Linked DNA regions of Notamacropus eugenii. The protein of the gene in region 1 binds, or shares a complex with, the protein of each later gene. Links are inferred from orthologs where the notes say so. Each region holds a gene or a part of one and is shown in the gene's direction. Other genes may lie near its edges. The genes, in order: PAK1, ARHGEF6, MAP3K5 and DCP1A.

What was found.
Region 2: PAK1 (region 1) and ARHGEF6 share a complex: the UniProt entries of both Homo sapiens proteins name them as parts of the cytoplasmic complex. The link is inferred for Notamacropus eugenii from reciprocal best matches to the Homo sapiens genes PAK1 and ARHGEF6.
Region 3: PAK1 (region 1) and MAP3K5 share a complex: the UniProt entries of both Homo sapiens proteins name them as parts of the cytoplasmic complex. The link is inferred for Notamacropus eugenii from reciprocal best matches to the Homo sapiens genes PAK1 and MAP3K5.
Region 4: PAK1 (region 1) and DCP1A share a complex: the UniProt entries of both Homo sapiens proteins name them as parts of the cytoplasmic complex. The link is inferred for Notamacropus eugenii from reciprocal best matches to the Homo sapiens genes PAK1 and DCP1A.

Annotation. Positions count from the first base shown.
Region 1 is NC_092876.1:125,967,411-125,974,704, forward strand, and holds the start of PAK1 (serine/threonine-protein kinase PAK 1), read left to right. Parts: upstream 1-4,275; 5' UTR 4,276-4,389; exon of another isoform or gene 4,390-4,828; intron 4,829-7,294. UniProt on the Homo sapiens protein: Protein kinase involved in intracellular signaling pathways downstream of integrins and receptor-type kinases that plays an important role in cytoskeleton dynamics, in cell adhesion, migration, proliferation, apoptosis, mitosis, and in vesicle-mediated transport processes.
Region 2 is NC_092879.1:58,084,599-58,091,581, reverse strand, and holds the start of ARHGEF6 (rho guanine nucleotide exchange factor 6), read left to right. Parts: upstream 1-3,964; 5' UTR 3,965-4,267; coding exon 4,268-4,432; intron 4,433-6,399; coding exon 6,400-6,483; intron 6,484-6,983. UniProt on the Homo sapiens protein: Acts as a RAC1 guanine nucleotide exchange factor (GEF).
Region 3 is NC_092873.1:223,165,792-223,172,937, reverse strand, and holds the start of MAP3K5 (mitogen-activated protein kinase kinase kinase 5), read left to right. Parts: upstream 1-4,146; 5' UTR 4,147-4,471; coding exon 4,472-4,958; intron 4,959-7,146. UniProt on the Homo sapiens protein: Serine/threonine kinase which acts as an essential component of the MAP kinase signal transduction pathway. Plays an important role in the cascades of cellular responses evoked by changes in the environment.
Region 4 is NC_092874.1:478,412,341-478,419,528, forward strand, and holds the start of DCP1A (mRNA-decapping enzyme 1A), read left to right. Parts: upstream 1-4,181; 5' UTR 4,182-4,236; coding exon 4,237-4,371; intron 4,372-7,188. UniProt on the Homo sapiens protein: Necessary for the degradation of mRNAs, both in normal mRNA turnover and in nonsense-mediated mRNA decay. Removes the 7-methyl guanine cap structure from mRNA molecules, yielding a 5'-phosphorylated mRNA fragment and 7m-GDP.

The DNA of each region.
Region 1 (7,294 bases):
GAGGCCTGACTTGGGAATCTGGAAGCTTGGTTTTTGGTACAATACAACACACATTAAGTGAGTACCTGTTATATGCAAGGAAGGCAGCTGGAGTCTAGTCCTTAGTGAATGGGAAACTGGCTTTTGGAGTCAGGAAGATCTGATCAGTGATCTAGGCAATTCTGTAAGCCTTCAGAGCTGTGTGAATGGTCAAGGGAGTATCTGCTTCTGGGGGGCTCTATATAGCAATAAAATTACAGGTCCAGTTCTTATCTGAGCTACATGCAAGGCCCTGTGCTAGGTATTGGGGAAATAAAGATGTGTGGGACATAGGTCTTGTTTGCAATCTGATATAGCTATGATAAGAATTAGGAATTCAAAAAGGACCCACATGGACAAAAATATTTATAGCAGCTCTTTTTGTGGTGGCAAAGAATCAGAAATTCAGGGGATGCCCATCAATTGGAGAAAGGCTGAACAAGATGTGGTATATGAATGTAATGGAGTACTATTGTGCTATAAGAAATGATGAGTAGGTGGACTTCAGAAAATCCTGGGAAGACTTATGTGAACTGATGCTGAGTGAAGTGAGCAGAACCAGGAGGACATTGTACAAAGTAACGGTTACACTGTGTGACGACCAGCTTTGACAGACTTAACCCTTCTTAGCAATGTAAGGATCTAAGACAACTCCAAAAGACACAGGAGAGAAAATGTTACCCACATCCAGAGAAAGAACTAGGGAGTCTGAATGCAGATTGAAGCATAATATTTGCTCTCTTTTTTTTGTTTCTTCTTTCTTGTGGCTCCTCCCATTGGTTCTAATTCTTCTTTACAACATGATTAATGTGAAAATATGAAATGTATAAGTAGAGCCTATATCATATGGCATGCCATCTTGTGGTGGGAGGAAGGGAAAGAAATTTAGAACTCAAAATCTTATGGAAGTGAATATTGAAAACTAAAAATAAATAAATAAACAAATAAGCAAATAAATATTTTTTAAAAAGAATTTTAAAAAATTAGAAATTCACTAATGCTGAGGGTTTATAGGGCAGCTGGGTGGTGCATGGGGCCTGGAAGGGGTCAGGACCACTTGATTCAAATCCTGGCCTCAGACACACTTACTAGCTGTGTGACCCTGGGCAAGTCACTTAACCCTTATTTACCTCACTTTCCTCATCTGTAAAATAGCTGGAGAAGGAAATGATAAAGCACTCCAGCATCTTTTCCAGGAAAACCCCAAACAGAGTCATGAAGAGTGGGACACAACTGAAATGACTGAACAAGTGCCAAGGGGGGTTTTCAATCCCTTCGTGAGCCTGTGGATGATGCTACAGGTGAATGAGATTTTTAGAAATATCATCAAGTACTGGGGCTCCAAACACTAATGCCTGGAGAAGCTATTCTAGCTCTTTCAGTTCTTACTTAGCCTGGATGCTCCCCACTGGCAATTTCTCATTTGGTCTCCATACCCAGAACACATGAGAAGCTGGAGGTGTCCCTGACAGGTGACCACCTCGGTAAGTAACTTGGAGCATTCTTGCCTCCCTGAGCCTCAGTGTCCCCATCTCTAATATGGGACAACAACCTTGATCTTGAAGTCAAAAGATCTGAGTTCAAGTGGAGTCCTGACACTGACAATTGCTAGTTATGCGATCTTGAGTCAATCAGTTTCCCTGCTGAACCTCAATTCCTCAGGAATTGGACTAGGTCAATGATTCCCAATCTTTTTAACTTTGAGAAATTTAATGGAAATCCCTCCAACATGATAATAATTGTAACTTTGATTCATCGAATCAGAAAATATACAATACACAAAGAGCTACAATGAATTCAATGACATGTTTCAGTGAATTTGTATTTTATTAATCACAACAGTATCTACATATGTTTGAGAGATGGCAATAGATACAAGTGTGAGTCATTGTTTGTTCAATCTAAAGAAGGTCTGCTTGTTTATTAATTATCCTTATCAAACTTGCAGAGGAAACAAAGCTAGTGGGCAATATAATAGTTAATAAAAATCAGGTGGTGCAGTGGGTAGAGCACTGGGCCTCAAGACAGGAAGTTCTGAGTTCAAATTCAGCTACAAATACTAGACTAGGGCAAGTCTCTTAATCTCTACCAGCCTCAGTTTTCTCATCTGTGAAAGGGGGAATGATAATAATGGTGTTAATCAGAATTAGGTAGATGTTCTTTTGCCCTTTTCAGAGATTTGAAATTTGGTTGAATTGAAGAATGCTTCAGTCCTAGGTCTGGTTCCACCTTCAGTGGACCCCTTTGCAATTACCCTGTGGTTTCCAAGGTTCTGTAGCCAGGACTTGGGGAAACAAGTGGCCCTTTCAGCTCTCAGTTCTGTAATTTGTAGAACAGGGGAATACTTACACTATCTTCCTCACAAGATAATTGAGGAAAACAGTTTATAAATCTGAAATCCTACAGAAACATTCCTACGTTGATGATGATGATGATGGTATATGTGTGAGTATGGGTAGAAAACTTCCAGCATAGATATTCTCTCCATGCAGATGAGCAATTCGGGGTGCCCGATACTTCCACTCTCTCAGGGGAAGTAATACTAACATAATACATATTTATTTGTTTTCTGATTCTTCATGACCCAGTTCAGGTCTTGGCAAAGATACTGGAGTAGTGTTGCCTTCTCCAGCTATTTTACAGATGAGGAACTGAGGCAAAAAAAGGTTAAGTGACTTGCTTAGGGTTACACGGCTAATAAGTTTCTGAGGGGAGATTTGAAGTCAAGTCTGTAGGCCCAGGGGCTCTTTCCACTGTACCGCCTAGCTGCCCAATAATAGCATAATGAAATATGTATTTCTCTTCTTGATCTAAAGGAAGGCTAGCAGAATCTTGGGTGATCTCCCTGAGAAATCATAGAAGGCCACAGACAAGAGTTAGACAGGACCAGAAGACATGGATGCCTTGCCACTTGTACCTTTGGAGGGAGTACCCCACCACAGATTCGTGGTGTGCTGGGACATCTTTAATAACTGGCTCTGTCCAAAAGATGCACAGGACTCACTTTTAAGCTTAATTTGCATTATTCGCATTTTCTCCATCACTTTTAAAAGTTTCAACAACTGAAAAATAAATCAACACCTGATTTCTAGCATTTGCCATTTTTCACTCTGAAAATTTAACAATCAGCTTTACCTCCAGCTTGTGCCAGCATGGAGGTCTTTCTCCATATCAGCTCTGCATTGATATCCCGCCCGCACTGTACCCTGATGGCCTTAGGCCCTCTTGCTCCACCTTCCTTTACCATATAAAGAGAGCCAAACACACAATGGCTGAGACCCATGTGAAATCTTGTCATACTTAGCTCGTTAAATACAAAATCTGCCATTAGTTAATTAACTCAATAAACTTTTATTAAGCACCTACTATGCGCCAGACACTGTGCTAAGTGCTGGGGATATAAAGAGGCAAAAGACAGTTTCTGCCCCCAAGGAATTTACAGTCTAATGAGGGGGACAACATGCAAACAAATATATAGGAAGCAAGCGACACACAGAATAAACAGGAAATATTTACGAGAAGGAAAGCACTGCTATTAGGAGGGGTTAGGGAAAGATACAACAAACACTATTATTACTGTATTTTGCCACTAATAAGCAATTCCCATTTCTACAGGCTTTAAGGTTTACAAAAATCTGTCGAGGTGGTGAGTGGACGCATTATCAGTCCCATTTTGTAGGTGAGGAAACTGCAGCACAGAGAGAAATGACTTGCCCAAGGTCACAGAGTCAGACAGAGTGGGCTTGTTTGCTCTCTCCTGCCTCCAAGGCCGGTCCTCTTTCCATTACATACACTTTAGGGGCTCTTCCACTGTCCGAAGAAGCACAGATCTGAGGGTGGGTGGCATCCACAGAGAGGAGCCCACAGGTCCCCAGGGTCCACCAGAGGAAGAGGTCAGGTTTGCAGAAGAGAGGCAGGGAGAGGGAGGGATGCCTGGGCAGTGACGTCACGTGCCAGCCGGGAGATTCCCCTGTCTCTTGCGTCACCCTCACATTACGTCACCCCAAGCAAGCCCTCTCCCTTCCCCCTACTCCCTGTGGGCTTCGCTCACGTGTGTCTGTCCAGTTTCCCTCCTCCCCTCGGCCCCTCCTCCTCCTTGACTTAGTCCACTTACTTCAGGGGAGAAATTGGGGGAAGGGAGGCTCAGTCCTGACGCCCGCAGCCTCCAATGGGAGAGGCTGGGAGTTCTGGGGACGGGAGGCGGCGGCCGGTGGAGATGGAAGGAGGGGTGTGAGAGGGAGGGGAGGGGAGGGGAGAGGAGGAGGAGGAGGAGGAGGAGGAGGAGAAGGACTGGGCTCTGGAGCAGCTGACAATAGAGACGGCTAGAGAGAGGAGGAGGGGGAGGACGGGCAGCGAAAGAGGCGGCAGAAGGTAGGGGCTGCATTGTGGACTCACCCCCTCTCCCTCCCTCCCGCCTGGGACCCCGTGGGGAGAAGGCAGCCGAGAAAGGCGGGCGGGGGAGAAGAAGGGGCCGTCCGGGCAGCTGGGGAGAGAGAGCGAGAAGCGGCGGAGGGGCGGGCAAGAGGGAGAGAGAGAAGGTGGGAGGGAGAGAGAGGAGGAGAGGAGAGAGGGAGTGTAGGGGAAGCCAGGGGGAAGAAGGGAGGCAGAGAGACCGAGAGCGAGGGAGCGATCGAGGCAGAGAGGGAGGGATCCAGGGAGCGAGGGAGCGATCGAGGCAGAGAGGGAGCGATCCAGGCAGAGAGGGAGCGATCCAGGGAGCGAGGGAGCGGTCACGCAGAGAGGAGGAAAGGACAGAAGCCGGGCTTGCTGCGGGAGCGGCCCCAGCAGCTGGAGGAGCGAGTCTGAGAAGGTGAGTCCCGCGGCAGCGATGGGCGTGCTCGGCTCGGGGGTTCAGCTTTGTGCCGGCCGCCACTTGAAGCCCAGGGTGGATTCGGGTGGGTGCGGGGAGCCGACGTCCTGGGCACGGGGTGTGTGTGGGGACTGTCCTGCCCCTTTCCTTGGAGGAGGACCCCCACTCTGCTCCGGGCTGCTCTCCCTTTCCCCGCCGTCCTCACCCGCAGCTCGGCAGCTCGGTGACTGGCGGGGGTGGGGGAGTCTTCTCCATCTCCGGACAAGTTCCCCCCAGGCTGAGGATGGGACCGGAGCTGGGGGAGGGGCGCCAGGTGAGTTGGCTGCGGACTAGACGGTGGGGATGGGGTGGTGGAGTGAAGCGGAGTTCGGACTGAAGGTAGAAAGTTTGGAGCATGGGCGGGTCGGGGGCAGGCTCGGCGGGGCAGCCACCCTTAACCCAGGTTCCCGGATCGGCTGCCCTGGGCTGGCCCAACAAAGACCGTCTGGCCCCTTGGGGTCCTTGCCCGGCGGCTAGCTCCGGCTGGGACGGAGTGTGGAGCCTGCGGGGGAGGGGCAGCAAAGCCCCGTGGGGGGCTGGGTCTGCCCTGGGGGTTGGGGAGCATCTTTTTGCTGGCTGCAGGGAGGGGGTGGGGGCGGGGAGTCGGGCGCAGGTACAGGTTTGGCGACTTCCTCCAACTTTGCTTTTCTTGAGTGACAGACTCTGCGATTCTGCGAGGTTTAATCCAATACGTTTGGACTCCCCTGAGTATTATCCATCAGTCAGTCAGCGAACAGTTACTAAATCCTTACTTTGTGCCAGGTGCTGTGCTAAGCGCTGAGGACAGAAAAAGAAGCAAAAGACAGCTGCTGCCCTCAGGGAACTCACAGTTTGATGGGGGAGACAAGAAGCAAATAAATGTGAACAAACAAGCGATAAGTAGGAAATCATCAGAAGAGAGGGGGGACTGGAATTAAGAGGGGCTGGCCAAGGTTTCCTGCAGAGGATGGGATTTTAGTTTGGACTGAAAAGAAGCCAGGAGAGCCCAGGGAAGCATGCTTTTTGCCGAAGTAACCCGGCTCAGGTAGGCCCAGGAGTCATCTCCTGGGGTAAGAGCGGAAAGGGGCCCCAGAACTAGCCTCCTCCCTTCACCGAGGTGGAAACTGTGGCCCATGGAGGTTCTAAGAAAGAAAGCACTGCTACCAAGTGGCTTAACTGGAATTAGAATCCAGACCCTCAGAGGCCAAACTCCACATCTTTTTGAGGGCTCCTCTTTGTCTTACAAAACCTAATCTAGTTTTTGCTTCAGTAAATATTTATTAAGTACTATATACGAAGTCCTGTATCAAGCCTTAGGATTCCCAGGGAGGGAAAACGTTCACTTTTCTGTCATCCCTTAAAATTGACTAAGAGCTTTCCTCACAAAAACCCTGTGATATGGAAACTAAGTTGTATTATCTCCATTTTACAGTTGAAGAAACTGAGGTGCAAACAGGTAAAAGTTATTTGTCTAGGGACTGGAATCCAGGTCTTCTGACCAGTGCCCTTTTCACTGTGCCTTGCAGATCCTAGAAGTGACAGGGTCCTTACCCTCAAGGAGAGGCAGCTTGGAGTCGGGGGATGTGGTGCTGAAGTTGGAGTCAGGAAGACCTGGATTCAGATCTACCTTCCTGTCTGTGTGATTATGAAGAAGTCATCTCACCTCTTTGAGCCTCATTTTTCTCATCTGTAAAATGGGACAATTTTAACCTGTCAAACCTACTTTACAGGGGATCAAGTGAAATAATGTAGGTGAAGGGCTTCAATTAAAATGTTATACAAATGGCAGTTATAAAATCTCATCTGCTAGGGGAGATACACCATGCATAGAATAATTCAAGCTATAAAGAAAGGACAAATCAGTCCACAAGTGAGCACCTACTATGTGCCAGGCACTGTGAATACAAAGACAAAAGCCATCCCTCCCCCCAAAGCAAAGGCCTTGCCTTCAAGGAGCTTAAATTTCTGCCAGGAGAAACAACCTGTATGTTTAAGTATACACACGTATATGTGTATGTATGTATGTATGTGTATATGTATACATATGTGTGTATATACATGTGTGTATATATGTGTATGTATATATACATACACATATATATGCATACACATAAACTATAAAGTTAGGAGAGGAAGAAGGCACTAAGAGCCTTTGGCAAGTATTTGCCAGGTGTTTAGTGATTCCAGGATGGGTGAGTAGGCAGAACACTCCAGGAATGGGGGAGAGCAGGTGCAAAGGCAGGAGATGGGATGTCATGAATAGGCCGTAACTGGCAAGCACCAGGAAAGGTGGGTTGGAGTCAGATTGTGAAGGACTCTAAATGCTAAACAGAGCATTTTTTTCTGGAAGCAATAGAGAGCACCTGGAAGTTTAAGTAGGGAAGTGCCTGGGGTCAGATCTGTGCTTTAAGAATACCATTTTGGCATCTGTGCAGAAGATGAGTTGGA
Region 2 (6,983 bases), on another chromosome or scaffold:
TTGTGGTATATGAATGTAATGGAATACTATTGTGCTCTAAGAAATGATGAACAGGAAGACTGTTCTGATGCTGATGTGAAAGGAGTAGAACCAGGAGAACTTTGTACACAGCAACAACCACAGTGTGTGAGGAATTTGTCTGGTAGACTTAGTACTTCACAGCAATGCAAGGACCTAAAAAATTCCCAATGGACTTTTGAGGCAAAATGTCTTCCACATCCAGAGAAAGAACTATGGAAATGGCTCACAGAATGAAGCATTTTCTTTTGTATTATGTTTTGTTTTCATGGTTTCTCCCATTCATTTTAATTCTTCTATTCAACATGACTAAGGTGAAATGTATTTAATAGGAATGTATGTGTAGAACCTATATAACATGACATGCTGTCTTGGAGAGGGAGGGAGGGGGGAAGGAGGAGGAGGGAGGGGAAAAAAATCTAAGATACATGGAAGTGATTATAGAACACTGAAAACAAATAAAATAATTTTTAAAACTCTCCCAGTTTACTTTCAAGTACCAGTATGCTACACGAGAAAAGCCATGAGTTTGGAGTCAGAACATTTGAGTCTGCATTCTGACTCAGTCATTTACCAGATGGTGACCATAGATAAGTCACTCAACCTTTATGAGACTATATTCTCCCATCTACAAACTATAAATGATAATAGTAATGGGTCAACTAGGTGGCACTACAGTGGATAGAGTGCCAGGCCTGGAGTCAGAAGTCTCTTCTTCCTGAGTTCAAATCCAGCCTCAGACACTTTCTAGCTGGGTGACCCTGGGCAAGTTACTTCATGCTGTTTGCCTCAATTTCCTCATCTGCAAAATGAGCTGCAGAAGGAAATGGCAATGCCCTCTAACATCTCTGCCAAGAAAATCTCAAAAGGGGTCATAAAGAATTGGACATGACTGAGGAACAAGAAACATCAACCTCCCAGGGCTTTTCTTTTTTTTAAATTGAGGATGTTCTATAAACCACTGTTGTATAAATAGTGTAAAGCACTATTGTGACTTGTGTCAATGCTAGTGTTGATTCTCTCAGTTACATGGGCCTTGGTTCACTGCTTCCTTAAAATTGATGAATAATGTGACATGATATGTCTGCCAAGAATATTTCAAAGTGGTGAGCGAGGATACCTGCTTCCTCCTCTTCGTTCTGCCAGTTTTTTGTTGTGGGACTGAGCTGTGCTTGCCTGAGCTTTAGTTGAACCATCTGAATGATTTTAGGGTTGGTTGCAGAGTTTCTAGAATTTTAAAATAATACTAGTCCTGATAGTGTTGTAAAGATCTGCCGAGATACCATATGCAAAAACTCTTTGTAAGCGCGAGATTGGCCCAGAGAGGCAAATAGTTATTTTACAGGGGATGATCATTTGTCAAGGACAAAGTTATGCATATAGATTTTACATGACATCACATGTGTAACTGATATCATTGCTTGCTTTTAATATGTGGGACAGGAGCTGGAAGGAAGAAGATAAGGTGGAATTCAACATTTAAAAAAATGAATGTTAAAATCAAGTATTCTTTTTAAAATTATTATTAAATAATTTTATTTGTTTTCAGTATTCTACAGTCACTTCCATATATCTTAGACTTTTTTCCCCTCTCTCCCCCTCCTTCTCCCTTCCCTCCCCATTCCCTCCCTGAGATGGTGTACAATCTTATATAGGTTCTACACATACATTGCTGTTAAATACATAAAATCAAGTATTCTTTAAAAACCTATATACAAAGCATTGATCTTATGAAGGATTTCAAAACCATATAGATAATTAAAATTTATTCTTCAGAGCAGTAATTTTAAAGGAAAATACTGCTATGATATAGTATAAAGGGAGATGTATTGACTTTGGAGTCAACAGCTTGCGGTTTGAATCTTAGCAGTCTTATTTCCAATCTGTGTGACCTTGGGTAAGTCCCTTCACTTCACTGGGCCTCAGTCTCCTCCCCTCAAAAATGAAGGGGTTGGATTGTGCCATAGGGGGTCTCCTCAGTGTAGGTTTGTTGTGCTAATTTTCTGGGGATCTCTTCCTAAGGGTGGTAGACAACGAGCATATTACAGCAAGGCCTATTATGTACGCCAGGAATTGGACCAAGCTCTGGGTTATAAACGAAGGACAAACCAATCTCTGTCCTCAAGGAGCTTCCATTCCACTAGGGGAGAGGACATTAACTAGCTAACTCCATATAAGATAAAGACAGAGTTGAAGGAAGGTAATTTGGAGTGGAAAGCTCTTGGGTCATTGAGGACTGGGAAAGGCCAATCACACAGAGAGAAGGGGGGCTGTAAGCAGAGTCTTGAAGGAAGCCAGGGAAATTAAGAGGGGGGAGGCCAAATGAGAGCATTCTAGGCCATTCCAGACATGGGGGCCAGCCAGTGCAAAGGGAGGGAGGCTTGAGATGGAGGGTTCTGTTAGAGGAAACAGAAGGTCTAACACTAATCCAGTGTAGCTGGATCCAGTGTGTGCCAGGGAGCAGAGTACAAAAAGACTCACAGGTAGGAAGGGGCCAGAGTGTGAAGGGTTTAACTGCCAAATAAAGAACTTGTATTTGCTCCTGGAAGTAATAGGGAGCCACCGGTGTGGGTCATGGTCAGAAATAGTCAGATCCGAGTTTTAGGAAGGTCCCTGTGGCAGCTGAGTGGGCCATGGATTAGAGACTATGTAGGAGGCTCTGGTCGTCTAGGTATCATGGACCCAACCTGAGTGCTGCTGATGGCATGAGCAGAGAGAATATTTAGTTTCCCATCTTCTTCTGATGACAACAACAATTACTGAGCAGTCACTTCTAGCTTTTGCAAAGAACAATGCTATGGTATTCGTTTCCCACCTATGAGGGAGTGACAGTTTGGAGAGAGTCTACCACGTTGCCAATCTCATCCAATCCAATGCAGTCCAATAGACATTTATTAAATACCACCGAGGATCATGGGCTTTGAGCTAGAAGGAACTTTAGAGATCACTGAGTCCAAGCCCTCCCCACTCCCATCAGATCTTCTTCAGAAGAGAGGACAGTGATGCACAGAAGCGTCAAGTGACTTCCCCGAGGCCACATAGCTGGTAAACGTCTGAGGCAAGATTTGAACCGAGAGCTTCTGAAGGCCCCGTTCAGCTCTGACTCCTCTAATCTAAATAAGAGCAACAGCTTTCATTTGACTAGTGTTTTTAGGTTTGCAAAGTTCTTTTCTCCCAACCAGCCCGTGAGGTAGAGTTGGAAGATCCCCAATTTCCCAGTGTGTGGTGTGCACTCCTGGCAAATGCTATTTTGTTTTCCAATTCTTCCTGTTTTTGTCATTATTTTCTTCAATCCCCCGATCCCTTCTTTCCCCGCCACCCCCAGACACACTTATTTTTAAAGCAACATGTTCTGGCCCATGTTACTGTGTCCAAGCCTTTGGCATGGGTTTTGCAGCTGGATTGTGCAGTGGGCATCAGGTCCGGAAAGAAATACGAAAGGAGGTAAGTAAACAGGGTGGCAGATGTTCTCCTTCTATTTCGCTCTTTGTCATGAAAGAAAATGCCATCCTCCCCGCTTCTGTGCCAGCCTTTAGACTTCTGGGTCCTCCTCCCCAGACCTCTTAAAGAGTATCCCAAGAAGTCGTGGCACCCAGCATCTTTGGGTGAGAACTTGTGGCTGGACAGCCATTCCTGGGATACATTTCCTGCTTCTCCCTTCTTGGAGCCCCACTGCCATTTCCACTGATTCCCCGAGAAAGCCTGGATCTGATCTGTTGGACATCCAAGCCAGTTGGCACCCACTTCCTGACAGAAGCCAGATTTTGTTCACTGAGGCTAGACTATTGACAGCTTGTCCCCAGGCTGGCCCACTCACTTTCTCATTTGCAAGGTTCCCTGCAAGGCTGGCTCACCTCTTTTTTCCAAGTGTCCCTACTTCCTTCTGTCCCCTCCCTCCCCAGCATCCTCTTCACTTCCTTCCCTTACAGCCCTGGCTCCTTCAAGTGTCTGTCAGTAGGAGCTTGTTTTTCAGTTGGGGGGTGGGGTGATGTGTATTGAAAAATACAATCATGCTTGTCCCTGGTTCTTCCCCTTGCTCTTTCTAGCTTTGCATAACTGAGTGTGGTCTCTGTGGTTAGAAGATCCCACCTTTGGAGTGGAGGTCCCACTGTGGCCAGAGAAGAGTTATCTCCACTGTTTGCACAGCAAGTGCCCGAAGAGAGAGCCCGGAAAAAAGGAAGACAGCACCCGATGCAATCGCGGATGTGGGTAAGACCTTGCAGCTGCTTCGGGTGCACAGTCCTCGGCAATGAATCCCGAGGAACGCATCGTGACATGGCTCATCTCTCTGGGAGTTTTAAATTCCCCCAAGAAGACCATCTGTGATCCGGAGGAATTCTTGAAGGTGTCTCTGAAAAATGGGGTAGTGCTATGCAAACTGCTAAATCGGCTTCTTCCTGGAGCTGTGGAAAAGGTAACTGAAATGGCCATGGTCTGCTTCCTTGGCCTACTTGGCTGCTTCCTCACCCAGGGCCCACTGCCTCCTGCTTCTAGGTCTGGGCCCCGGCTTTCCCCCAGACCTGAAGTGCCCTCCCTGCTCACTTCAGCCTCTTAGAATCTCTAGCTCTTCCTTCAAGGCTCAGCTCACCTGCCTTCTCCTCTAGGAAGCCTTTCTTTATCCCTTTAGTTGGTCTTCTTCCTCATTAGGTGGTGTATTTGCCTATCTGTTTATGTGTTGATCCCCCCAGTGGAATACAAGCTTCTTGTGGGTAAGGACTGTTTCTTATTTTTGTCTGCCTCTCCGTAGCACATAGCACAGTGCTTGGCACATCAAAGTAGATGTTTAACCAATATTTCTTGGCTTCAGACTGCCTAGCCCACATAACCTGTGAGTCAAATACTTTGTGTCTTTCCACTAGCTAGCAATGATTCCTCATCATTCATGTCTGAGAGGGATGGGATATGGTTCATGGACCCCTGGTAACTACCTCAGTACGGCCATTCTAGCATTGAGACAAGGGCAACATCCACCAGAAAAGTATTTCTTGTTAGAGTGAGTGAGATGTCAACTGACCTCCCCATGAACTAAGGACACAATTTAATCAGAATCTATGAAATTGTAAGATGTTTAAATCTAGGGCTGATGGCATAGCTGAAATGAATGTATTTCTTTAAAAGTTTACTTTTAGCAACAAGGAGAACCAAGCTAGGATGCGTGACTTCCGATAACAACTGAAACTAAATGGGTATTTGAAATGGAACACATAATTCCAGGAAGATTAAAATGTAGGCATTCCCCCCCACCCCATCCTCCTTTTTAGATTAGCACAGTTAAATTTTTGATGCTTCCCCTGAGGCTAGATCTTTACTCCAAAGGTAAAGGCAGTTTTCTAAAGGAGAACTCCAGTATTTAGGGAGTGTGCCCAAATAAACTGAGAACTGGGGAATAGAGGTGGGAGCCAAGTATGACTTGGACTTGAGTTTCTACAGCCAGATTGTAACAACTTTCTAGGCTAGAAAAATGATATATTAAAATACCGTGCAGGATGCATTTGGACCTGGTACTTGTTGGGTCAAATGTCCAAGTGGGGTGCAATGGAAAGATTTCTATTTGGGACCAGAGGTCCTGGTTTCAAATCTCAGCTTGGTTGCTTATTAGCTGTGAGACACTGGGAAAGTCATTTAATTTCCCTGGGCCTCAGTTTACCCACTGTAAAAGGAGGGGGTTGGCTTGGATGACTTCTGAGGTCCTTTCCTTTTTAGATCTGTGATCCACTGTGTTTTTGCCTTGGGCAAGAACTTTTACCTTAATGGGCCTCAATTTCCTCCTCTATCAAATGAAGGAGTTCTACTACTGAAGGACTTTAAGGTCCCTTCCAGCGGTAGAGCTAGGATCCTACCTGTGATCTTGGACCAGTCTTTCCCCTCCCCTCATTTCCTCCTCTGTCAAATGAGAGGGGCTGAACTAGATGCCCCTGAGGTCCCATGAACCCTAAATCTCTGATACTATGAAGGTTCCTATGAAATGGTAGAAAGCAGCAAGGTGGAAAATGTGCTTTTCATATATTTGAAAACAGTAACACAGTTTAAAAAATCCAGACACATCCTAATATCTTGGGATGGGGACAGAGAATGAAGAAATGTATATAGTCCAAATAATTTTGGACTCAGAGTTGGGAGACCCTTCAGTGGGCCTTTAGCCTGGGGCTCTGTTCTGAAACTGATATTTGAAACAAAAGGCCGTTTAGATTTTTACATCATTTCCTTCAATGGTTACTTCTCTTCCTGGTTTGAAAGCAGCCTTCCCCTTTGCCTTCAAAAAAAAAAAAACCCCAAAAGCAAACCAAAACCAAAAACCTACCTAGTTCTCATAAAACATGAAGCATGCTGGGCCTGCTTGGGAAACCCAACTCACAGAGGTTCTCTTGATCATTTCTTTAGTACCATCAGGAGCCCCAAACGGAAGCTGACTGCATCAGTAACATTAAGGACTTCCTCAAAGGATGTGCAGGTCTTCAGGTAGAGGTAAGTCAGTTGGCCCTGGCAACCTCAGTATCAGCATCATTAGTGCTTTTGGTTTTGTTTTGGGCTTTGTCATGCCAATAAAGAGGGGATTTGGTATTGGAGTAGAGGAAATCTCACTTGTTTGCTTTTCCCAATAGCCATTGCAAGGTTGAAGATTAGGCCCTTTTTTATTCACCCCACAGGAGAAATTGATGGTCACTTTGGTGGGAGGCTGTCTTTCTCAAAAATTCCTGGAAAAGACAACAGCAGAAGCAAGATGATTGTCTTTCACAGTCCAGCATGAAAGTTTTAAGAGTAAACTCAGATGGAACTGATGTGCTCTATGGCTGCTTTTCTCAGTCTCGAGGAACATTAATGGTTTAGACCATGATGTCCAACTCAGACAGAAACTGAGGATCATTAATCTGCACATAAGGATTCCTGTGGCCTTCACACTGACCTAGTTTTAAAATGTAATATTATCTTTGTTTTACTGTACTTTTATTTCATTTGTTGGATAT
Region 3 (7,146 bases), on another chromosome or scaffold:
GGAATTTTATGGCTTTGGTTGAAATGATGATACAGTCAAGTGAACACCTAGAAAAGCAGCATGACATAGATAAAATGTTGGACCTGGAATCAGAAAGGCCAGAGTTCCTATCCTGCCTTGGACTCTCAGTAGTGGTTCCCTGATTTCTAGCGGCAACTACTAGAGGTAGCTAGAGGGGACTGTGGATCTAGTGCTGGCCAGGGAATCAGAAAGACCTGCACTTGAATCCAGCCTCATTTACTAGTTGAATTTCTGTCTGCTTTAGTTTTCTCAAGTGTAAAAGGACGATCATAATACCATGAGATAACATTTGTAAATTGTTTAGCACAGTGCTTTTAACATAGTGAGTATTTAATAAATCCTTTCTTCTTCCTTTTTTTCTTTCTTATGTCTTTCCTTTCTCCTTTCTTTTTCTTTTCTTTCCTTCCTTTCTCCCTTCCTTCCACCCTTTTTCCTTCCTTCCTCACTCCTCTTCTTCCTCAATCCCTCCCTCTTTCCCATCTTTGTCCCCTTCCATCCTCTTTTTTCCTTCCTCCCTCCCTTTTTTTCTTTTCTTTCATTCCTTCCCCCCTTTTCTTCCTCCCTTTTTTCCTTCCTCCCTCTCTTCTGGATTTTTTTCCTTCTTCTATTTTAAACTACAGTTGTACTGTAGTCAGTTTTTAAGTTGCTTGTTTGAATGCTTATTTACCAATATTTATTGTAGTACATTACCCATTATGTGTAGTGAGGCTGGAAGATATGTAGATTTTTACATCCCTAAAATATTATAGACTAGTAGTTTGCTCAGAGAATACTATACTAGGTTATACTTGTCCATAATTTTTTCATTTTACCTTTAAGCCGGTTTAGAATACTTCCTTTATTGTGGCACGAGGCTATCAGATTTTAGGAATTATGACTGAAGGTTCATAGTAGAAGGTTCATAGCTCTTTAGTAAAAAAGGGATCAAAACCCCCCTCTCATCCAGGGCCAGTGCTGTTCTATCACTTGGTACCCAACTGAACAAAGAGTAGAGGGACCCCTTGGGGCCTCTAGAACCCCAGGCCCAACTTAGAGTCAGTAAACTACATAAGCATGGAACCAGACCAGTCATCCCACTCCATTTTAAGTTACAGACAAGGTGTTATGCCCCCTCCCATACCTGTGTCATGTAATAAAACTTTTATTGAACCAATAAATCAGAGGTCTGAACTAGGTGTGGACAAGGAAGACCTTGTCATTTTTTGTGGATCAAACAATCAATGAAAGGCTTTAGAATAGGTATGAAAAGTCCTCGATCAACTTAGAAGTGCTTGAAATTCATTGTATGAAATGGAATGTATGAAAAGGAAGTATATTTAGATTGATTGAAGAGACTTGGTTATGCCCTGTGGGTTTTCTATAGAATAAACCAGATTTGGAACTCAAGCACTGGGACATCTGTCTGCTTAATGGTTAAAGTTCAGCTAACCACAACCCTGGGAAGCTCTTTAGGTTTAGTCTCAGACTCTTCCCTCCCACCTTTTCTGGTTGAAGGAGAATCTTGGGGGCTTAGAAGGATCCAGAGGATTTGGAACTTCCCATGAGCATCCTCGCAGAGTCCTTGCTACAGCTAGCTACAGTCTACATCAGAAGCCACAAATTAGATGTAGGGAAGAAATGATGTTTCTAGACTATAAAGAGGCAGAGCAGTTAGGTGGTACAGTGAATAAAGCGTTAGCCCTAGAGTCAGGAGGACCTAAGTTCAAATCTTGCCTCAGACACCTGACACTTATTAGCTGCTCAAACCTGGGCAAGTCACTTAACTGGATTGTCTTATGCAAAGACTACCAGGAGTCCAGGAGAAAGCTGTTATCACTCCATGCCTAATGGGATGGAAACTTCATGAGCACTCCTGGAGAAGTGATGGGGGAAATGAGGACTTTCCCCAGTAACTCTGAGTCATCTCTCTCTCTCTCTTTATTCCAGACCTGGCACACTGAAACACTTAGCTGCCCAGTACTCCCTTCTAAAAGTCTAAAATGGGTGGCTCAATGGATACAGAGCTGTTCCTAGAGTCAGAATGACTGGCCTCAGATACTTACTAGCTATGTGATCCTGGGCAAGTCACTTTTGTGTGCCTCAGTTTCCTGATTTTTCAAATGAGCTGGAGAAGGAAATGGTGAACCACCCCAGTATCTTTACTAAGAAAACCCCAAATGGGGTCACTGAAGAGTCAGATACAACTGAAAAACAACAGAACAAACCGATAGTTATAGGAGAAATTACAAAGGTGGAGGCTTGTGAGCTGTTGCTTTAGAAAGACAGACCCCTACCCTTCACTGCCTAGATTTAGCAAAGGAACTTATCAATTAGTATAAACTTCCCCAATTTTACTAATGAAATTGAGAGAGAAGCAACTTAATCAAGGTCACAAAGATAGAAGCAGAGATGGTATTTGAACCCAGAACCTCTGACTTCAGATTCTGTGACAAACTGGACCATGGGTGAGGAACAAGGTTAAGTGACCCTCCAATGCCTTTCCCATGGTCAATGGATACATTCTATATGTTCTATGTGGGGATTAGCTGTGCTACTAGGTCAAACTCCTGGATAATTTACAGCATAATAGGTATTCCCTCCCCTCTTTAGAGCTAGAGTGTCAACAGGCACATGTTAAGTCTTAACTTGAATGAAGACGTTATTCCATATCTTAGGATTCCTTGGGGAACTGGGGATCTTCAGACCAAGGGGTACCTAGCCTTTATGTAAAAATTAGAGGAGAGGCAGCACAACAATTGAATGTATGAGCTGGAAAGGACTTTAGAATTCATCTAATCCAAGAGGTTTTAACCAAAAGTCTTAAATCACACACACACGCATTAATAATTTTAATGTAATTGATTTCCTTGTATGCTTTTTATTTTATTTATCTAAAAAACATTCTGAGAAGGGGAAGGGATCCACCTAGAGGCAGCTAGAGCTCTGAGCCTGAAGTCAGAAAGAACTGAGTTCAAATCCAGATTTAACGACTTACTAGTTGTTCAAACCTGGCCAAATGCCTCAGTTTCCTCAACTGTAAGATGGGGATAATAATAGCATTTATTTTGCAGGGCTGTTGTGAGGATCATTTGTAAAGCACTTGTAACAGTGTCGGACACATAGTAGGCTCTTAATAAATGTTTATTCCCTCCCCCCCCCCCCCCCCATCCTCGCATCGGTATTTCAAAAATGAGTAGGAAAGACCCCAGGACCACCTCAGATCTTTCACAAGCTAGTCCCGGAGTCCAAGCTCAGATGTGTTACGCACAAACCTCGGGGCCAGACAAGGCTTTCCGCCGCCTCGGAGCTCAGCTCCCTTTGAAATCAGGGCCATGGTTGCGCAAGCCACGAGTTCTCAGGCCAGGCAGTCACAGCTTAAACAGGAGAGCAGAGCTAAACAGAAACCAGAGGAGGGCGCCATGGCCGCGGGGACCGTCTCATCAGACACCAACCGCAGCAAAAAACGACTTTAGCAATGGCAAGAGAGACTTTTTGTACGAGCCCCCCGCAGTTTGAAGTAACTGAGGGCTCGCGTAAAAAGCCTCTTCTGAGGTAGGTAGCTGAATGGTGAAAACCAGAGGCAACAGACAACCTCTAGCTGAGCACCAGTCCTGTAGACTGACCTAGGGAGCGTTGATGACCGGTAGCACCGTCGCTTTCACCTCGGTTTAGGGCTTCCCAGCAGCGCCCGCCCCCGGGGGTTGGCCCCAGACTCTCCGGGCTCCAGCAAAGGGGCGGGAAGAAGGCAGTTAGCAGAGGGGACAAGCGGCTGGAAGAAATCGCACGCCTCCAGCCCCGCGGGCCGGCGCTTAGACGAGGCGGCCGCCACGATCGGAAGAGAAAAGAGGGAAGGGGAGGAGAAGGAAGCTGCAGTTGACTGGGGAGGCGGATCCTCTCGGCTGCGGCTTCTGGTGTGCGTGTACAACGCTCGGCAATCCCCTTCGGTAAGGTGCCAGCCAGGTGACTCTCCCGAAGGGAGAGGAAACCCCCGTGGTCCCCAGAGAGCGCGCCGCGGAGAGGAGAGCGCACGCCGCGAGAGCAGCTGGCGTTGCGTTATGGTGTCAGTGGCGCACGGAGTCTCCGGAGCTTAGAGCCTCTTGGCAGCCCCGTGGCACAGGTCTGCTAAGAGCCCGGCCAGCCCTAGACAGGGAGGAAGCGCTTTTTTTCCTTCTCGTCCAACAGCTTATTCCTACCCCTTCTATTCCGAGCCTTGCATCGAGCTAGAAACACCGCCACGGAGGCGCCCAGGAGGGGAGAAGCGCCGCCGGGTAGCGGCGTCCCTCCGGGAGACAGAGCGCCGGAGAAGAGGCGGCGCCGCGGTGGAGGCGGCGGCGGTGGCGGCGGTGAGGGCTCAGCTCGAGATGGCAGCTGCCTAGCCCGGCGGGCGCGGAGCAGCCCCGAGCTGTGGCTGGCGAGACGGGGCGGCTGGGGGGTGGACCCCACCGCGGCCGCCGGAGAGCCCCTGGAAGAGATGATCGCGGAGGATAGCGAGGGCATCACTTTCCCCGTGCCCCCGTTCAGCCCCCCGGGCTTCTGCACCTTCCAGGAGGGCGGCAGCGGCCGAAGAGGAGGAGCAGCAGCGCCTGCAGCTGCTGCTTCAGGAGAGGGGAGTCAGCTCCCACCACCGCCACCGCCACCCGGCAGCTTCTGGAATGTGGAGAGCAGCGGCACCTCGGCCGCCTGTCCAGGGGGGATCTCGATCGCTGCGGTGGCGAGTGGGCCCCCGAGCGCCCCCCGAAGTCGGGGCAACTCGACTGGCGCTGGCGGCGGCAACCGTAGAACCACCGTGGCATATGTGATTAACGAAGCGAGCCAGGGGCAGCTGGTGGTGGCGGAGAGCGAGGCCCTGCAGTGTCTGCGGGAGGCGTGCGAGGCGGTGGGCGCTGCACTGGAGACCCTGCATTTTGGCAAACTGGACTTCGGGGAAACCGCGGTGTTGGATCGCTTCTACAATGCAGGTGGGCGAGATGGGAGCCTTCCTGCGGCTCTTCTTCCTCCTTCTATGGGTGCTCTTTCCTCCTCTCCCTTCCCCCACTTTATTTTTTTCTTTGCTTGAGCAGCTCCCCTCTTCTGGTCTGTATCCCTGTACCGAGAGAGTGCCTAGTAGGGTGTTAACATATTGAGTGTGGCAGCACTTGAGAAGGAACGTTTCTCCTTTCCCTGGGAATGTGAAAGAGGGAGTCCTCTTTTCCTCTCCTCCCAGGAACTCTAGGATCCTGAAGTTGTGCTGAGCTTAAGCCCTATACCAATCTTTCTTCTCCCTGGGATTCATATTTAGTCTTTTCCACTCACCTCTGTCCCCATCTTTGGTGTTGATCTCACCATTTCTAAGGGTGCGTGTTTGGTACTTTCAGTTGACGGTCCCTCCTCTCACCTCCCTTTTTCTTCACTAGATTTTTAGGTGTCTCATTTAGGTTTAGAGTATGAGATAGAGAACAGGCTTCAGAGACAGTACCAACCTGGCTACATGCACTTTGTCTTAAGACTGATTTTTCCTCCCAGTCTTATTTTACCTTAAGTTTTGATGACTATAATTCAGACACCCCACTTACTTGCATTTTCTAAGTTTGTTCTCTAGGGCAGTAATGACATTGTAACAAACACTCAAGTTCTCTATTGTCTTTGTTACATTGTTGGAGGGAAAGAACCCAGTGTTTTGCCAAACTGTGTGTGCTGTATCCTGGGACATTTATCAATTTACACATTGTTTAAAACGTTAATGACTTTCTTGAGAGCCCACATGAGATCAAGTTGAACTATAGGTAATTAAAGCAGTTGCTCCCATAATCCCTTCCAAAAATAATTTTATTGTACTGTTCTAACACCTGCTACAGTAGTTTGAGAGGTGGGGAATTTGTTTAGCAACTGAAGCAGTTTGCCCTCTCTTGACAGATAAGCTGAAACATTCAGAATATTTTCAGGAATGTACGTATGAAATTAACCTCCTGTGGCCCTTTGAACATCAGTACACTGTTGAGCATGTCAAACCATATGTTTGCATTAATGTAACTGGGTTAAAATCTGATTGAAGCAATTTCAGTGCAGTAAGCATCGAGTGTATGTGCTTACATAAAAGGCTTTAGATTCTGGACTTGTTTTCAGGCCTGTCTTTCCATTCAGGCTCTTCAAAACACCTGAAGGGTGGTTATGTCAGTGTTGGAATTCAGCCATGGCTGATGTCTCAGTAGTTCAAAAATAAGGAAAAGAACTTCATGTTAGGAAAGACAGACTAAATAAAAGTAGGTCTTTCTGGTTCTGGTATTTGCTAGAGTGCTGGCCTGCATAACTGAACATACATGTCATGCATTATTGCTAGCTATCTGAATTATGTAAACCTTAAAAAAAAAGTAACTTTTATTTGGAGCACAAAATTTGGAAAATAGTAAAGAAGTAACCAAAAATAGTGCAAATCAAGGAAAGACTTTCTTTGCTATATTTAGTCTTATTGCAGTATTAGGTGGATTTTTAAAAAGTTCCTACTTTATACTCTCTGGAAGCTTAACTCCTAAGTTAATTGGAAACACGGTCTTAATAAGATTATTTTTACTGCTTATATTCTACCAAATACTGATTGATGGTTATAGTTGCCAAACACAAAGAAACTGCACCCATTAGCGTTGTAGACCTATTATTCCCATGTGGAATCTAACAGTGTTTCTCTGGGAAATTGTTCTCATAGTTTCAACTTGGGATTTTAGGAATGTATTATAAATGGCTAAGTTAAAGCTAGAAGGGGACCTTTGCTTAGTTGTCTCCTCATTTGACAGATGAGGAAACTGAGGCTCAGAGAGGCTAAAGTGTTTTACCCAGTGTTGCACAGGTGGTAAATGGTAGAATTGAAAACAATAAATAATCCCCTCTGATGCTTTAAAAAAAAAAATCATCTGTCTTGAATTTGAAAGTTGAATCTGCAGAGTTAAACAGGTCCAGCAAAGGCGATATAATGGCTATGAATTAAACTGCAGTGATTATTAATATAATGCTAATTATAACTTTGAAGTAGTTTATGAAAGTGCAAATATGCATTGTATTACTCTTAAAGAATGGCTGTATTTGAACAAATGTATTGGGAACTTCATGTTTTGGAAAATTGGAGAAAAAATTGATGGGTTTCCTTTTACTTGCTTATACAAATATATTCTTTGA
Region 4 (7,188 bases), on another chromosome or scaffold:
AGTAGGCCAAGGTCACATAGATAATTAAGGAAGAAAATATGGTTTCCTAACAATGCATCAGGATAAGATAATGCACATAAAGGACATTAAAATTCTATATAAGTGGGAGAGGTGGCACTGCAGCATTGCACCATGGGATTGGAAAAGAGGTAGCTTCTCCATTGTAGTAGACAAAATGTTGGACTTGGAGTCAGGAAGACCTGGGTTTGATTGCTGCTTCTGATAAAATATGATTTCTATCACCCCAGTCAACTCAACCTCTCCTTGGTTCAATGAATTCCCTCTGACTTGTCACACTCTAAGTTTCAAATGTCCCTGGATTCCTAAGGTCATATTTTGTTTTGGGGGAACCTTTAGGTTTCAGCATGAATCAAGATCAGTATTTGCTACTCAAGTATTCCCAGTGTGGACAAGGACCTTCATGTTCACAATTTTCAATGCTGTTAGACAGGTCTAGGGGCAGATCTCCACCCATTCTCCTTTGAAGCCATTTCCTACTGAAAATGTAAATAATGCTATTAATAAGTTGTGTTCTTCACTCTTCCAGATCTGCTGATGTTGCTTAACCAGGCAGAAAATAAAGAGACCACTTTAATTATTTCAGAAGACTGTGTGGGAGAAAAACTAAATTTAGTCAAAGAGAAAGAGGCCCGTGTATCCCACAGGTGCATGTAAAGTGATTGACTTAGTTTTACCAAGAAAGAGTAGGGTAGGAAGAAGAGTCATTTCGAGTTGGCAGGTGATAATTGTTTAATTCTTCTGTTGAATATTCATGTTGAGTATTTCTTGGAGAACTTTCCCTAATGGCATCACAAAATAACCCCTAAGACTCTAGTTTTTCAGGAGGAAGCAAGTAGATCAAAACCCTGAAAACAGGATGACCCTAGGGGGATCAACCCCCCCAGAGAAGATCAGTTTGTCTGCAGCTAAGCCAGTCAGGTGGATATCTCTAGCTCTGAATACCTGTGCCTGACACACAGCAAGCCCCGAACAGGCGAAAGTGGTTCCTGCTTGGATCCTTGTTGAGGTGGAATGCCTCAGTCCCAGCCTTTAACCTGCCCCAACTCATCCATCAGAAAAATTGCAAATGCCACCTTTGGTAGGAGGCAACTTAATGGTGCTTTGGGTAGAGAGCTGGCCCTGCAGTTAGGAAGAACAAGTCTGGGTTCAAATCTGACCTCAGAGCCTTACTGGCTGTGTGACCCTGGGCAAGATATTTATCTCAGTTTCCTCATCTGTAAAATAGGGATCATAATAATAGCACCTGCTTTCCAGGGTTATTGTGAGGATAAAATGATATAACTATTTAGCTTGCATGCTCTCTCTCTCTCTTTCTCTCTTTCCCTTCCTCCCCTCCCACCCCCCATTAGCTATTATTGTTTCCAAGTCCTCCTCCCTCCACACACAATGCTAGCAGTTTCTTTCTAAGATTACCTTCTAATTATTCTTTGTATAACTATGATTTGTACACAGTAACTTGCATTTTCTTTCCATCATTAGACTGTGAGCTCTTTGAGGGTAGAAACCATGCTGTGGCCTTTCTTTGTATCCCTAGTGCTTAGCACAATGCCTGCTGAGAACATAACTTTTTGTTCATCCTTCATTTTCCAAGAGGACCAATGACATTACAGAGTAGCGTCTTGATTCATGGGTGAATTGGATTTAAGTGAGGCAGAGCTGCCCAAAGTTGTCAGCCTCACTCTCTTCCTGAGTCATCAAAGTCCAATGACAAGACAAAAGTCAGGATGACTGGCATGGCCTAGGATGCAGTGGGTGACCTTGGCATCTTCATTTCTGAACAACCTCTAAGCATTCCACAGTGCCTGCTTCAGCCACCTTCATGGCCACTGGAACAAATTGTTTTCATCTGCCCATTCTGGCAGGGGAAGTCTTCACATGCTTGGGGTGGACACTGCCCTAACTCATCAGTGGGTTTGAGGCCCCCTCCGTCACTCTCAACCTGGTTCACCCTGCCAAGGTGGTTTTACTGTGCTGTGGCCACTGCACATGCTACAGCTTCTTGGAGCCACAGGTGAAGCATGTAATAAAGGCTTGTTCACTGCTAAGGATCCGAACGAATTTCCATGAAGAGAGAGGGTCAACACTGTCATTGTAACACCCAAGTCCTTATCTGGATTACAACTCTGGTGTAAAGAAGCAGGTGGCCCCAAACACAGATCAGAGAATAAGGGCCTTGAACCTTTTCCCAGGGATATCTTAGGGCCCAGAGGGTTTAAGGCTTGGTTTGGAGAGGCAAGAAGTATGTAAGACTTTCTCAGGGGTCATATAACAGGAAGAGCATTGGAGGAGGTCAGAAAACTTGGCCTGAACAGCTGAGATTCTTTCTATATTGGGCTGGCACACAGGAAGTGTTTCATAAAAGATTATCCCCTCCCTCCCTAGCCAGTAAGACAAGGGCCCTGAAGGACTCACCCAGTCCAGCTAAGGCTTTATCAAAGAGCAGCCTGATGAGACCATCACCACCCAGTTCTTCAATATCATTATGTTTCTCATTTGAAGTTCTCCGACTCTATGGAACGCTTATAAGGCAGGGGGTCACCTTGGTGAGTTCAACTGACAAGTCATGGCCGGCTGCAGTTGTACTGGTCCTGCTTCTAGGCATATCAAGGAAATCCTTTTCTCTGTAAGATCCATTTAGCTTCCAAATAATAAAGAGCAGGATATAACACTTTGCTCCAAAGACCAGAGTAGGATCTAGCTGTTGACAAGTGTCCTCAGTCCCTGCTTTTTGGCCTCTTTTTCTTCCCCCTACTCAATAAACCCCAGTGGCTCCCTATTACCTACAGGACCAAACAGAAAAACCTCAGGCATTCAATCCCTAGCCCCCTGCCCCGCTTCACCTCACCACACAGACACACAGACACAGACACACACACACCCCCAGCCTCTCTGCTGTTCCTAACACAAGATGCTCCTGCCCCCTGCCTCCCAAAGGCCACGTGGAATCCTGGCCCCAGGATTTGCCAGCCACGTCATCGTGGCCAGGTCACGCGTTTCCCGAGGCCTCTGCTTCTCCCTCTGTAAGGCGAGGGGTCGGACTGGGAGTGCCCCCCGCTGGGCTGTCTCCCCCACCTGCGGAGGAGCGAGCCGAGGGGATGAGGGGCAGCCGCTCCGGTTTCGTCCAGGCCTGTCCCCAGCCGGGCTACCACCGGCCCTGGCGGGGGCCGGGCCAGGAAGGCCAGCCTGCGAGTCAGGCACGTTCGGCCTCAGTTTCCTCCTCTGTAAAAAGGGGGAGTAACCACACTGGAACCCCGGACCTGGGGCCAAGGAGGGTGAGGGGTGGGGGAGGTGGGGGGGTCTGGGACCCCACCCACTATCCGCACGGATGACGTCACGCATGGCCGGGACTGCCCGTCTGTAGAACCCTCCTCGTTGCCCCGCCCGGCCCAGGGCAGTAACACGGGGGTCAGCCCCCTCCCGGGGGAGAGGAGGACACCGAGGGCCCCACGGGGGACCCACGGGGGACCCACAGAGGACCCCGGCTGGGGGAGGGGCTGAGGGGCTGCGAATGAACGACAATGACCACGTCCTATGGGCGGCGCCCCCCGGGCACGACTTCCGCCCGCTGGGGGTTTCCCCGCAGGGCTGGTCGCTTTCTTCTCCAGCTCATTTGACAGATGGGGAAACTGAGGCAGAAAGGGTGCAAGGCCTTGCCCGGGGCCACCCGGCTAGGAAGCGTCAGAGGATGGATTTGAACTCAGGCCCTGCTGACTGCGGGCCAGCGCTCCCCGTGCCATGGCGCCCCCTCGCGGCCGTCGTGCTCAGCCTCCCGCGCCGCAGCGGCCACGGTCTCATTCCTCATGATTACGTCATTATCATGAAGCTCAGGTTCCATCCCAAGGTTCCCAGCAAGGAGCCAGCCCCGCCCCCGAGGAGCTCGCTCGCCCAAGGCGGCGCCCACCCAGGTAGACTTGGGCCCCAACGGACATGCGCCAGGGGCGCCCCCGGTGACGTATGCTCGGGCGACCGGCTCGTGCTCGCCGCGCGCGCTGGTCACGCAGGATCCGGCGCCGGAGGGCGGGACAGGAAGAGGCTGGGCCTCCTCCTGGGAGGGGTCGGGAGCTGCCCGCACTCTGCGTCGGCGTCAGCGGCGTCAGAGACGGCCAACGCGCCTGCGTGATCCGTGACGTCAGCGCCGCGGCCCCGGAGGTTTGAATGGGAGGCCCCGCCCGCTAGTTTCCGGTGCCGGGCCGCTGACTGGGGGGGGCGGCCAAGATGGAGGCGGGGAGTCGAGCCGGGGCCGAGATGAGCCTGGCGGCGCTGCGGCGCCACGACCCCTACATCACCAGCATCGCCGACCTCACGGGCCAGGTCGCGCTCTACACCTTCAGCCCCGAGGCCAACCAGTGGGTGAGTGTCGCCCTCGGGCCCGCCGCCGCGGCCGCTGCGCCCATTCCGCGGCCGGGGAGACTGAGGCCCGGGCCGGCCGCCGGGCTGGGCCGCGACTCGCTGAGCCAGGCCCTGCCCGCCCCAGGCCTAGGGCGAAGGTCCTGCCCCCTGCCCGGGCCTCCGTGCCCTCCCCTGTCAGAAGACAGCGCAGACAGCCCCCGGCGCACACAGTAGGCGCCACCAAGAACAAGCGCGTATGAAGCGCCCACTGTATGCCAGGCGCTGGAGCTATCAAGAGAAGCAAACAACTGTATACAGGCCCGCCATGGGGGGGCTAGGGCCACAGGACCTGGGTTCAGATCCTGCCTTAACCAAAGCCGACTTCGGTGACCCAGGACAAGTCACCGCATGGGAGCACAGGTCTAGCGCCTTCCTCTCCCTGTGCCTCAGTTTCCCCATCTCTAAAATGAGGAGATCCCTCTACATTCATCTCCTGTAAGGAAGTGCTGCCCTGGGTTGGGATGGACGCCTAGATAGAGCAGTTTGAGGGGCTGCCCCTCCCCCACTGTATGGGGGAGTTTGGGGGGCCGGTTATGGGCGACGGGGCACGGCCGAAGTCTGAAGTCCGAAGCCCAGGACCCTTTGGGGGTCTCCTTCCTGAGCTGCCTAAGGGACGCTCTTTGAATGGCTTTGGTTTGTTGAGTTTGTTGAATGATTGAGTTGTTGGCTGGCAGCGTGCGGACATACTCCTGTCCTGCGGCACAGCCGCTAGTGACCCCCCTGCTCACATCTGCCCCAGCTTTGGGGACCCCAGAGTCGTGAGGTTGGCATGCGGCTACTTCATCCCTCCAGGAATGTCATCCCACTTATTAGGGTGCCTCCCTGGGCAGGTATCTGACCCCCCGGGCCTCAGTTTCCCTATAAAGGAAGGCCTTTAAGGCCTCTTCCAGATCTGGATGTAGCCCCAGGGTCCCACCTGTTTGTCATTTGGTGAAGAATCTGTGATTTCCTGCCCTTCTGACACTTAGGTTGGCCAAGTCTTTGTAGGCTTCTCAGACTGACTCACCCATGCTTTTGGAGGAAGGGTCTGAGGCTGGATTCGAACCCTGGTTTGACTCCCACTCCAATGCTCTCTCCTCATTTTATAAGAAAGGAAAATGCTTCCTCTCAGTGTCAGCATGAGGTTCCCCGCCTAGTAAACGATAAAACTCAGGCTGATTAGGTTGGAAGCTCCTTGAGGCCAGGACTGTTGCCTCTTTTTATATCCCCACTCTGTAACACAGTGCCTGGCACATAGTAGGCTTTAATGAATGTTGACTGATTGATCCGGAGCTCAAGTCCTCGGGGCCTGCCCTAGACTTCACAAACAAGGATGCTGACTCATCAAAGGGCATCCAGTCTGGGAAGACTCATAGTTTCCAAGGTCCTTTTGGCCCAAAGTGGCCCAGAAGACATGGGGGCAAGGGAGTAGGGCATGAAGGAGTATGGAGCCACATCCCAGAATAATTTCTGAACACTGCGGGGATTTTAGATGAACAAGCCAGTGTTTCCCCCTGATGTTCTCCCTAAAGGCCAGGGCCACTCCTTTGTTCTGAGCCCAGGCTCCAGAGAACCCAATGGGGAACCATCTGCCCAGTTTGATCCCTAGGCATTTTATTTTACCAGGATTTAAGAGAAAATCAGTTTAAGTGAAAAAATTAAAAGATAATAAAAATATTTTTAAAATGTGTTTTCTGTTCTTCCTGGGTGGTTTTTAAAGGTTCAAACCAGCCCTTCAAACTTATGTGACTTTTTGCTCAGCTGATTGTATCAGTAATGTTACAGACCTCCTAATGATCTAACAAAGTGTTGGAAGCCTGTATAATGTATCCCAAGATAAAACACTGTTGCAGGAATCTTAGCTGGACACTTTGTTTTACTAAATGGCTTTTAAACCCTCCTTCCACCTGGTTGTATCTCCTTTATTTCTTCAAGGTATACAGTATTCCTCTTCTGTGCTATAAGGACTGGGGACCCATTGGTGGTGGCCAGGATTGCAGTATGTAGCCATGTTGCTTCCTTTCATAGTTATAGTATCTCTAAACTTGATGTGAATAAGTAAGAGTCAAAGCTTGGTTACCAAGTGAAGGTTCTTGTGGTTCTCTGAGGCTGGCTAGTTCCATCCTCACTTTTATTTCAGCAGAGCCTGGCTGGGGTATTTACGATTCCAGGTGCTTTTGGGAACTGGTCCTCCCTGGCTTGGTTTCGTTCATTAGTTTCAGTCATGTCTGACTCTCTCTGACCCCATTTGGGGTTTTCTTGGCAGTCATTTCCTTTCCAGCTTATTTTACAGTTGAGGAACTGAGGCAAACAAGGTTAAGTCACACAGCCAGATTTGAGCTCAGAAAGATGAGTTTTCCTGACTGTATGTTGGGAGACATCGAATGATGAGAACACTTCCCAAAGGGTAGAGGGGCAGCTTGGTACCAGTGAAGGGTGATGAAGGCCAAGTGGTGTTAGAGACCCCAAAAGGACGAGCTGGTTGTGTAGGAGAGTATGGAGAGTCTCAGGGAGGCCATGGGTGATGGGGGAAGGGGAGCACTGGGATAGAAGGAGCATGCTCCTACTGGGGAAAACTGAAGGAGATGCTTCCTGCTGTTCTGAAAGAGTTGATCTCATGGGGTTTTTCTTGTCTCAGCTTAAAAGTTTTAAAGACTTCTGGCTTAAAGAAGGAAAATGAAAAAAGGCTAAGTCTCTAAACAAATCATTAAAATTCCATTCACATGTGTTGTATACCTGTAAGAAATCAAGGAGGTCACCTCAAAATTCAACGGCTTCTCTTCATACAAAATATGCATA